3 linked regions of the Oryctolagus cuniculus genome follow. The protein of the gene in region 3 interacts with the protein of the main gene of each other region in a biochemical or structural test. Links are inferred from orthologs where the notes say so. Each region holds a gene or a part of one and is shown on either strand. Other genes may lie near its edges.

Evidence for each region.
Region 1: the proteins of MPDZ (region 3) and HTR2C form a complex in vitro, tested with the Homo sapiens proteins (3 studies listed by BioGRID and IntAct, with this or other methods). The link is inferred for Oryctolagus cuniculus from reciprocal best matches to the Homo sapiens genes MPDZ and HTR2C.
Region 2: the proteins of MPDZ (region 3) and CYSLTR2 interact in a test that uses a peptide from one of them, tested with the Homo sapiens proteins (2 studies listed by IntAct, with this or other methods). The link is inferred for Oryctolagus cuniculus from reciprocal best matches to the Homo sapiens genes MPDZ and CYSLTR2.

What each region holds. Positions count from the first base shown.
Region 1 is NC_091453.1:78,910,703-78,914,453, forward strand, and holds the start of HTR2C (5-hydroxytryptamine receptor 2C), read right to left. Parts: upstream 2,804-3,751; 5' UTR 2,217-2,803; intron 1-2,216. UniProt on the Homo sapiens protein: G-protein coupled receptor for 5-hydroxytryptamine (serotonin).
Region 2 is NC_091440.1:67,983,568-67,987,318, reverse strand, and holds the start of CYSLTR2 (cysteinyl leukotriene receptor 2), read right to left. Parts: upstream 2,685-3,751; 5' UTR 2,554-2,684; intron 1-2,553. UniProt on the Homo sapiens protein: Receptor for cysteinyl leukotrienes. The response is mediated via a G-protein that activates a phosphatidylinositol-calcium second messenger system.
Region 3 is NC_091432.1:175,939,908-175,943,558, forward strand, and holds part of MPDZ (multiple PDZ domain protein), read right to left. Parts: coding exon 3,546-3,651; intron 1,322-3,545; coding exon 1,176-1,321; intron 502-1,175; coding exon 418-501; intron 272-417; coding exon 78-271; intron 1-77. UniProt on the Homo sapiens protein: Member of the NMDAR signaling complex that may play a role in control of AMPAR potentiation and synaptic plasticity in excitatory synapses. Promotes clustering of HT2RC at the cell surface.

The sequences.
Region 1 (3,751 bases), on a different chromosome or scaffold from region 3:
GAAATCACACACAGACACAATTATATATATATATATATGGATATATATCTCTCTGTGTGTGTGTGTGTGTGTGTATATATATATATATATCCTGGATCCACGCCTTGCAAAAATATCAACTCTCACCTTTCTTCCCATGAATTCATACTATACCAAAGCCTGTTATGTATCTGAAAAAGTTATCATATGATCCATGACAATTTTAGATGGAGATAAATCTCAAGAAACTATGGGAAGGGTTAATAACCTTTCTGGATTATGCAGATAGAAAATCACTGTGAGTGTTGGTTTAAGCATCCCAAATCCTACCTTGACATTGCAACCACAAGCCTTATCCACCTTCTGATGTCAGGACTCACATTGGGCTTGTTGCCGTAGATAGAAGCTATTAGGAAAGAAATCATTTGGATGAAATACATATTTCCTTCCCTCCCCAGGAGGATCAGAAGAACATATTTATAGAGTGAAAAACGTAATTAAATATCTTATAACCTACTTCCCTCCGATACAGGAAAAATGAATTCCCATGGGGCCGAGGGAGGGGATTGGAGTGGGAGATGGAGTTCTGTAGATGATTCCTAAACAGCAAGGTGCCAAGGCAATTATACTCTTCTGAAAGGACAATATTCCGTGTGATTTAAATACTGCAAAAGCGGCACAATGATCATGGTAGAAATAATTTTCTGTGGGATGTGTGGGTTGGCCTTTTTCATGGTCTACATACACGTAGTGAACTACAGTAACACGATTTCTACTGCATTCATATTTTCATTTGTCAGAATGGGTGATGACATATAGGAAAATTTCATAATGAAAAATTGAAACTCTGGAACCCAAATGTCTTTTTGCACCACTGTGTATGTGAGGACACAATTGTTGGCCACTCGAGGAGCTCAGAGATTACTCACTGCTCACCGTCTCCCCCACCAGCCCAGTCATTTTAGTCCAGTTCTATTCCTCCCTGGAGAGTCTCCCTGGGTTAGCCTGTCTAAAAGGTATGTGGTAAGGGGCATATGCACTTAAGAGGCTCAGCAATAGGAGGCTTCCTTGGATGGGACTTGTACTGGTAAATATTAATGAAGAAACTATCCTGTACTGGCAGTGATTCTCGACCAAATTAGATCTCTTCTAACTGCCGGATGTCGCAAGCTGAATTTGAGTTGGGGAGCGCTGTCGCCTAAAATAAAGGGGTCTAGAACACGATGCAAAGTGCTTGTCACCTCAGGTCGCATACTACCAACAGTAAGCAAAGGGCAAAGGGCACGGCGCAGAAAAGAAGCAGACACAAAGACAGGTTTTTCAATGACGAACTTTATGTGGCATCAGGAACGGCAACCTGTTCTCACGTTTAGCAATTCCGATGGACGCTGTTAAGACTGCTTGTCAGGTTAACCTGAATAACGGGACTGGAATAAGAGGCAGCGCTGGAGACTTTTCCGTAATCCTTTTCAAAACACAAAACTGTCACCAAATGACTTAGGTAAGCTAATAATAAAAAGGCTGCTTGGATGCCTTATTTATACTCTCCTTTTAAACTTACGTGACCATCAGCAGCAGCACTGTTCACATTCAGCCAACAGCTGTTAACACAAGACACAGATCCGCAGTATCTATCTCCCCAGGGTAACGGGTGCTCACTGAGACCCGCCGAAAATCAGGGTCGATTATCAATGAGAATATAAAAAAGGATCCTCCCCCACCACCACCACCTTGCTCCCACTGTCCCAAGCCCTACTTCCTGTTCCACTTGCCCGCAATCCAATTGCTTAAGAACGTAGTGTGTACCCCAACCCAGCTGCACCTTCCGCAGCCCAACCCTTTGCCCAGCGACACCCGCTTTCGGTCTCCCTCCTCTCTCTGCCCCTCCCTCACTTCTTGAGGCCCCCACCTCCGCCACCGCTACTCTCTCCGCTTCCTAGGCGCTGGGTTCTCCAGACCCTGCCTCCATCCAGACTTCAATCTCGAGTCCCAGCTCCCAATCTCCTTGGAGGCTCGGGTTCGCCTCCCGTGAAACCTAAGCTCTTCTCTCCTTCTAGAGACCCCAGTCTCCCCGCGATCTGCGCGTTCGGAGTCCCTCCCCACCCCCTTCACCCTCGCCCCGGTCAGTGCGGTCCTGCAGGCTGCAACCATCCGGGACTTGTCCCCGCTCCCCACTCCATCCCTGGCCTAAATCATTAAGGTCTTGGCTAGTAATGCAGCCCGGGGCTCCGACTTACCACTAGCGTCCGGGAGGAAGACCAGGCAGCGGTCGCCGCGGCGGCAGCTAGACGAGAAACGGACCCGGCTGCAATCGCCCAGCGGAGCCCGCGGCAGTCGGTGCGCTGCGCTGCGCTGCGCGCCGCAACCTCGCGCCTTGGCGGAGGCAGAGAAAGGGACGGAGGGAGCTCGGCGCGATGGGAAGCGCCGGCGAGTCAACCTCCTTGGGCGACCCTGCGCCCCCGGCTGGGTTTGGCTCCTCTAGTTCCACTATCTCACTCCAGCTTAGTAACTGACAACCTCCAGCATCTCTGCACTAATCGCGTCTTCTTTCTTCTTCGATGGCCCCTAACTAACTACACTACGCTAAACGGACGAAGACCATCACACGAGCACCACGACGATCTCGACGACTCCGACAATGGTGTGCAGAAAGAAGGAGGAAAAGTTCATATGTAATCGGCAGGTAAGAGGCAGACAGGCCAATGGAGTAGCCAAGGTTAGCAATCTGGCATCTCCAAAGGCAGGATCGGGAAGATCAGTGCACCCGAGGAAGGAAGCGTCCTCGCGAGCACCAGAGCGCCTACCCTGCGCTGGTGGAGCTGCACAGCGCTCTAGGGCCAAATGCGGGTTGAGGGGAGGAGCCAAGATCGACCAATCAGCGCTCAGTGTTACGCTGCCCCGGGCCTGTTTGGACCGGTCTCTCAGTGCATCTGGAGCCAACTGAAAGGGGGCGCGAGACCTCTTTGAGGGATGGTGATGGGGATCGCGATTAACTTGATTCATGAGGCCTGGAGACTGGGGGCAACCTGGGTCAACCACGGAACGGGATGTTGGGAATGGGAAGGTTTATTCAAGATTGTACCCTCAAATATTCAAAGAACATCTGTCTCTTTCTCTCTCTCCACACACACACACACACACACACCTGTACATTCCAGTTCGAAACACATGATTCCTAAGTCTTGCAAATTTCACCATGCTTTGAAACTCGAGGGTCTCTGCTAGTCTCCTGCGCCTTTCTCCACCTGTAGCAACTGAGGCAGTCACAGGATCACACATATCTAGTGTGCAAAGGCCACAACCCTGTTATCAGGTCTGCTTCCCCAGCCTTGCCCCCAAGCCCAAATGCAAAAGGAGAAAGGAAAGCCTTTGGCCTTTGTCATCTCCTAGAAGGCACAGTTTGATTCCCTTCTTGACCCCACAAGCCCCGCTTAAACGCTCAGAAAGACACCTTGAGGGTAGTTCCTTTGGGTTTCTGAGGGGACTGAATCTATCTGTCCTGTACAGAGCCCTGAGGCCCACAGTCAGGTGACTGCACAGCTGCCGTGAGGGCTGTCAAGACACAGTCAAGCCACGGTTAAGGCAGCAAGGAAAGAGGTGAGCCACGATAGCTTCCTTTGGCTACTGCCGGGATGCTAAGCTGCAACCCAGACAACAGAGCTCTTCACAGGCTCCCAGGCGCCACCTGGCAGGTGCCTCCGGTGTGCCAGCTGTAGCGCAGAAATGATCAGGCCACCTTGGCCAAGATGCCTCTGAGGCACCAAGACCAAGT
Region 2 (3,751 bases), on a different chromosome or scaffold from region 3:
GCACGGGTGGCAGGAACCCAATCACTTGAGCTGTCACCAGCACTTCCCACAGTGTGCCTTAGCAGGAAGCTGGAGTCAGGAGCCAGAGGCAGGAATCAGACCCAGCCACTCTGGTATGGGATGTGGGTATCTGAACTGCTACTCTAGGACAGTCTTTTCAACAAGTTGTGCTGAGAAAGTTGAATAGCCACAGTCATTGAACCTTCAACTAACACCATACATGAAAGGCACCCAAAATGAATAAAAACCTTAAAGATAAGAGCTTAAACTATAAAACTCCTGAGAGAAAACATAAGGGAAAACCTTCATGACACCAGATTTGATAATGATTTTTTAGTTATGGCACCAAAGGCACAGAGGAAAAAAAAAGAAAAGAAAAATTAGGCAGATTGAACTTGATCACAATTAAAAACATTTGTGCATCAAAATACTCCTAACAGGGTGGGCACTGTGGTTAAGCTACTGTTTGGGACATCTGCATACCATGTTAGCGTACAAGTTTCAGCCCAGGCTACTCTGCTTCCAGTCCAGCTTCCTGCCATTGCATCCTTGGAAGCAGCAGAAGATGGCACAAGTGACTGCCATTCACGTGGGAGACACAATTTGAATTCTGGACTCCCAGATTTGGCCTGGGCTAGCCCTAGCTGTTGCAGGCATTTGGGGAGTGGACCAAAGTGATGTGGGGTGAATAGGCAGGCAGTTAGATAGGTCCCCAAATGTAATTCTACCTCCTCCTTGTCAATCAAAACTCTCCCTTTCCCAGGATGCACCTACTCTATCTAGGATCTAAGGAGGTGGAGGGGGATGCCATGAAAATAAAATTCAAAGAAACAGTAAATGCAAAGAAAGATAAAATGCAAAGAAAAAATGAGATACCACTTTACACCCATTAAGATAGTTTTGATTTTAAAAACCAAAGCAGAATAGAAAATAACAAATGTTAAAAGAATGTGAAGGAACTAGAACTCTTGTGCCCTGCTGGTAGGAACATAAAATGGTGCAGTTGCTATGGAAAATGGTGTGTCAGTTTCCCAAAACATCAAAACAAAAATGGAAGTGCCATCATTACTCAGCCTTTCCACTTCTGAGAATATACTCAAAAGAATTGAAAGCAGGAACAAAAGCATGTTTGTACACCCACATTTAGAGCTGTATTGTTCACGACAGGCAAAGTGTGGAAGCAATGCAGTGCATACAATGGAATATTATTGTACCTTAAAAAGGAAGGAAATCCTGACACATGCTAGGATGTGGATAAACCTTGAAGACTTTGTGCTAATTGAAACGGTCAGTCACCAAATGACAAGTACTGTGAGGTCGCAGACTGGTCAAACTGATAGGGACACAAATAGAATGGTGCTTGCCAGGGGCTGGGGAGAGGCTTGTTAAAATAATTCATTACAGGGCTGGTGCTGTGGCATAGTGGGTAAAGCCGCTGCATCCAGTGCCAACATCCCACATGGGCACCAGTTCGAATCCTGGCTGCTCCATTTCCCATCCAGCTCTCTGCTATGGCCTGGGAAATCAGTAAAAGATGGCCCAAGACTTTGGACCCCTCCACCCATGTGGGAGACCTGGAAAAAGCACCTGGCTCCTGGCTTTGGATTGGCACGACTCCAGCCATTGCAGCCAATTGGGGAGTGAACCAGAGGATGGAAGACCTCTCTTCTCTGTAACTCTGACTTTCAAATAAATAAATAAAGTCTTTAAAAAAAATAATTCATTAGGTGGTCATTAGGCTGAGGCAGCCTACAGAGTCCTGGTCTCCCATGTGGGTAAACAGAAACTCAACCCAGTAAAACCTCCCCCCCCCCCCTTTTTTCCTCCGTCCTATTTGTTCTCAGTCTACTAACCTTTTTGCCCAGTTAACTTTCTATTCCAAGGATGAAAAAAGGCAGTGAGACAAGCGCCTAATAAAACGAGTCCCTCAGTTCACCCTGGCAGGCTTCTTAAACCGTCTTTATGCCTTGGTTGAGGAGGTCAGAATTCTCGTTGGAGCACATGATCGGGAATTCCCTGATTGTCACCACTTTATTCCCATGGTGCTGGGATACCGTGAAGCCCATGAGTGCATGGCTGAAGCCAACGGGAGGTCCCTGAGAAAAACAACGTAGAAGCTGGTAACATAAGATAAGACCTGGTAAGATTTGGGCTCTCCTGCCGAAAAGAGGACTAGAAATTTCACTTTGTTCTAAAAAAAAAGGGGGGGCGGGGCGTGACATTAACTTCAATATGCAATGACTTTGAACAGCCCTTTCTTGTCTCCACTGTTGAGGAACAGGTTTTGTTTTGTTTTATTTTGTTTTGTTTTCATGAAAATTGTTGAACTCTTAGTATAGAGTTGGTCTTCTATGTATAATGTTAATCGAAAATGGATTTTAGTGGAGAATGGGACTGGGAATGGGAGAGGGAGGAGGAGGTGGGGCGGGAGAGTGGGTGGGAGGGTGGGTATGGTGGGAAGAATCACTATGTTCCTAAAGTTGTACTTATGAAATACATGAAGCTTGTATTCCTTAAATAAAAAGTTTCTTTAGGGGATAAAATTTAACTTACCTGTGGTTGCAGTCCAGTTCATAAACACAGCTGCAGAAACCACGACAGAAACTTCCTGAAGCCCTCACGCGTAAAGTGCTGACTTCCTTCTTTTTGCAAGGAATTGTCACGTCCCATATCTTCAGGCTCTGAATGGACAAGAAATAGAATTGGCAGTACTTTTCCCATAACAGCGGTGGACGCCCAGCCAGTTCTGGTCAGTTTACAGAGACTGCATAGTGTTAACCACTTGGCCCTAAGAATAACATTTTGATGTCACATTGGCATAAAATCACACACTAATGTTATAGACATCTGAGGTGGGAAGACTCCCTTTGTTCAAACAGGCACCAGAGACAGTGGAGGATTGAAGTAGTTTATTACACCAGTGGGCTCAGCTGGAATAATTTCCCGAGAACTGAGCAACAATCCCAAGTTTTTTTTACAATATTTATAGGTTCATCAGCATCATTTAAATTGCAGCCTACATGGTGGGTTTAAATTGCAGCCTACAAGACTTAGAACCACATTTCCAATGGTTGGTGGGCCTGTTATGTTTGTAGAAGAGACACCAGGGGCAGATTTGTTAGGACAGATTTATGACTGGAGTTTACAGAAGTAGAACTGAGGACTCCTTCTCTCCCTAGACAAGATAGCAGTGGGCAGCTGCTTCACTAGTTAATTGTGAGCAGCCACTTTTCAAGGTCTGTGTTGGGATGCGGGGTCTGCTTCTCTTTCTTTGTCTCTGGTTGTGGCCGTATTTCCTCTATACTAGTATCTGTCCAGTCCCTGTGTTTGCACTTAAAATGTGTGGAATTGTATCTTACTTGCACCTGCTCAGTTATCTCTCGTTATACCAAGAGACTAAGTTACTAGAATGTCTGTGAATATACAAACTTCCCTCTTCTAACATTCTTGTGTTTGTCTTTCCAAGGGGGTGTACACATTTGTTCCAGATTGGCTTTTCCTCAATCTATAGATTGCTTCTCTTTAAAATAAGGCTCTCCTTTTCTGCCTTTCAATCTGAATAAGATTATTATTATTAAAGATCTAGCCACGGAATCTTCCTGGGGTGGATCAGAGGGGGCTAGGAAAACAGCAAATGACCTCTTTCTAAAAAGGTCCACCCCAAGGGAATTACTCAAGAAACTGACTGCTCTGTCTTCAATCTTCTAAACAACTAAGGAAACAGGATGAACCTGTTTGTTTACAAGGAAGA
Region 3 (3,651 bases):
ATTCCACTATCAGTCCCTTACAAGAATGTAATCACTCATTCCCACAAGGTCACTGGGTTCATCATCCTTAGGCACACCTTTTCCCAACAATACTTAGTCCCAGGCCTTTGCCGGGTTTCTTCTGTAGCTCCACGGTGAGGGCATCACACACGTCCTCCTCCTTGTAGGGGGCCTCGTCTCTGTAGAGTGTCAGGCGCACTCTTTGGGGCGTCTGTCGCAGGACATTGATGGCTTCATCATGTGTGGCCTTTCTTAGGTCAATCCCATTCACCTGCACCAAAACGGGATCTTGAGAGTGAGAAACTAGGAGAGTTAAACAGGGCAAATAAAGGAAGGGAAAAGAGGGAGAAGGAAACAACAAAGAACCAGTGGCCTTTTTGCTGTGATTTCTGAAGGTCACAAGGAAGTGCATTGTACCTCTAATATCTGGTCTCCAGCCCAGAGTCTTCCATCTTTGCATGCCGCTCCTTCTTCATATACTTCATGGATGATAATGGCACCCTGGGAGCCAAACACAACAACCCATGCTTTATTCCATTCTCCCTAGCAATACAGAGTTGAAATGGAGTCCAAACACCTGGGACTTTTATAGACAGCCAGCAGGCCTGATCTTTACAGGATCCACCTGCCGGTAACCTCACATCATTTAAGGAAATGTCTGACAACTCACTTTCTGCTAAATGGCTCAGAAAAGTTTGTACATTTTTTTTTCTAACAGTAGGGATATTTAGAAAACATTTTAAATATATAAATTATCTATGCCTACATATAATAGAGCTACATTACCTTTTGACATTTACAAAATTTTGTCTACAAAGCATCCAATTGTTCAGATTCCTCTCAACACATGACCAATGTGGTGTGGATTCCATTAAAAAGGAAATCCAAACCAAAAGCACTGGTGAGCTGACAGAAACATTTCAAAATCTAAACGTCACACTCACAAGTATAACAAAATCTTACTGAGTCAGTATTGACTTAATTAAGTAAAAATCCCAGTACCCCCATTAAGGATTTGCTCTATAAATTAAAAATAATAATGAGCAATACATTTTTTTCCTCAGCCTTTATATTTAATATAACAAAACAGACAGAAAGGCATCCCCTCAGTCTAGGTATCTGAGGCCTGGCTGAAGGGTTGCCCAGCTAGTGAGCACCTCTGGGTGGGCACTCACCAGCAGTGTGTCTGACCCGCCCACAATGCTCAGGCCCAGTCCTGTTCGCCCTTTGGAAATCTCAATTGTTGTTTCACAGCCAGGGATAATGGGGCAGGTGGCAGGATCAGAAGCAAAGATCGCTGGTGTTGATGACCTGCTTGTACCTAAATGAGTTAAAAGAGAAATGAAATACAAATAAATGTTGATTAAAAGGTATATGGGCTAAACTCACTGCACAGGTTGCTTTTGGGGGATGGAGTAGGAAAAGGGGTTCAGACTAGTGAAAAAGGAGATTGCAAATTTACTCAGCTCTTCTAGTTATATTAAACTATATTAAGGCAGGGTGTTTGAGGCAGTGGGTAAGACGCTATCTGGGGTACCTGCATCCTACCTGGAGGTACCTGGGGGTTTGAATCCTTGCTCCATTCTCAACTCCAGCTTCCTACTAATGCTCACTCTGGAAGGCAGCAGTGATAGCTCAAATACTTGGGTTCTTGCTACCCATGTGGGAGGCCCAAATGACATTCCCAGCTCCTGGCTTTGACCTGGTTCAGTCCTGGCTGTTACTGGCATTTGGGGAGTGAATCAGTGGGTAAGAGCCCTCTGGTGTTCTGTCTAGGTCTGTATTTGTCTGTCTACTGATAAATAAAAACAAATAAATATATTTTGAAAGAAATATTATTAAATCATTGTTAAGGTTTTTGGTACAAAATCACCTGTTTATTTTCTATACTATTCTGTATTTTTAAATTGCTATATAAGATAGAGTGTAAAGGAAGGAGAACAGAAAGTTGAACAGAACCTCCAGTTTCACTCTGACATTCTATACTTCACTGCAGCAAAACACACTTGTTATGAAATCAAGATTTGTACAACTCAGATCTGAGACATGTGGCAGACACACAGAAGCACATTCAAGGGAGATAACAAAACACAAAGCACATCAATAATTTTGGTCCCACTGCCTGCTTTTCAGGGCTTTTTATGCTTTCCTTTTTTCCCCCTTATCCTAGAGCATCTCTTCTCACATGATCAAGTCTAAGGAAATACTCACTATTTACATCTTTACCCTTGGATTTCCCTTGCTTTTTTATAAACAAATCCTGGTGCATAGATGCTCAAAAAAGAACAGACTATGAGAAAATAAGAATAATATAATTTCACATCCTGTTGTATGACAGTCTTCTTATCGTATCACCTGTTTTATGATACAACAATAGCATGTTTGGGGAAAGTCTGGATGGCTATACTTGGTAGAATAACGTATGCTTTGGACAAGATGTTCTCTTTTTAGGAAATCAGAAACAGACCATTTTCTTGTTCCTGAAATGGTAAGAACAGGTGTAAGATATTTCGTTTTATGTAAAATTTTCACATAGCATTTCATATTTTTATAGACAATGCTATTTAGGGATCAATGTAAAATTGAAAAATGAGAATATTTTCATAAAATCTTTTAACACTTCAGTCAATTATTCAGTCCTTCTAAATAAAGGATTACTTTCATCAGAGATATATCTCTTTAAGCCATTTTTGTCTAACTATACTACAAATGTTTTAAATTAGTGTTTCCTTAAAACCATGTCAAAAGAACTGAATGTTTCAGTTTGTAGGCCCAATTTTTCCCCACACTTGCAGAAAATGGCAACGTGTTTGAGCAATTTTGTTTTTTTGATGGTGCAGAGGTTGAAATTTATTGTTTTATAAGAAACCAGTGTGATTTTTGTCAAAAAGTAACTTATAGGAATAATTTACCTCCATATACTAGACGGGCATTTTAATGATAGACTAAATTATCATCTCATGGTCCACGACATCCATTTTATCTACTTTCACAAGGTCTACTACTGCATTCAAACCACAGAACTCAAACTGCTACAACATACTCAGTGTCAACAGCTATAATTTTCAGGAGTTTCTTGTGGTGGCAGGTAATATTGATCCTATCTGTGAAAAAGGATCACTGTATATCCATTCTACAGATAAGAAAACTGAGACTTAGGGAAATTAAGTTACTGTCTCAGTATATGTGTATGTATACATATATATACAGTATCTCCAAAATGATATTTCCAATTTGCTAGTTCAATATCTGAAATCACTGGTACTCTCAGCAAAAGTTTCTTGGAGAACAGAGAAGTTGAGGCTCAGAGTGAACAGGTGGATTTCCTGAGGTCCCACGGTGGGTTAATGTAAGATGCCCTGACGTCTACTTTACAATCCAGTGCTCTTTCTTTAGGAGCCCCTCTCTTGCTACCAGCCTCCCACCACAGGGCTCCCTTGTTACACCTTTCAAACAATCAGCCACTGGCAGGCAGCTGGACCCTCAGCAGGCTCCCTGTGCTGAGTATGCCAGACACACAGGACTCTCGTGAGCCCAGTCCTTACTTCGAATGGGCTCTGGTTCTGGAGAGCTCGACTGTGGCACCACTGGAGACTGAGAGCTGCTCCTTTTTCCTCCGTTGGCTGCACCAGCTACTGAAGTAGCCGGCGA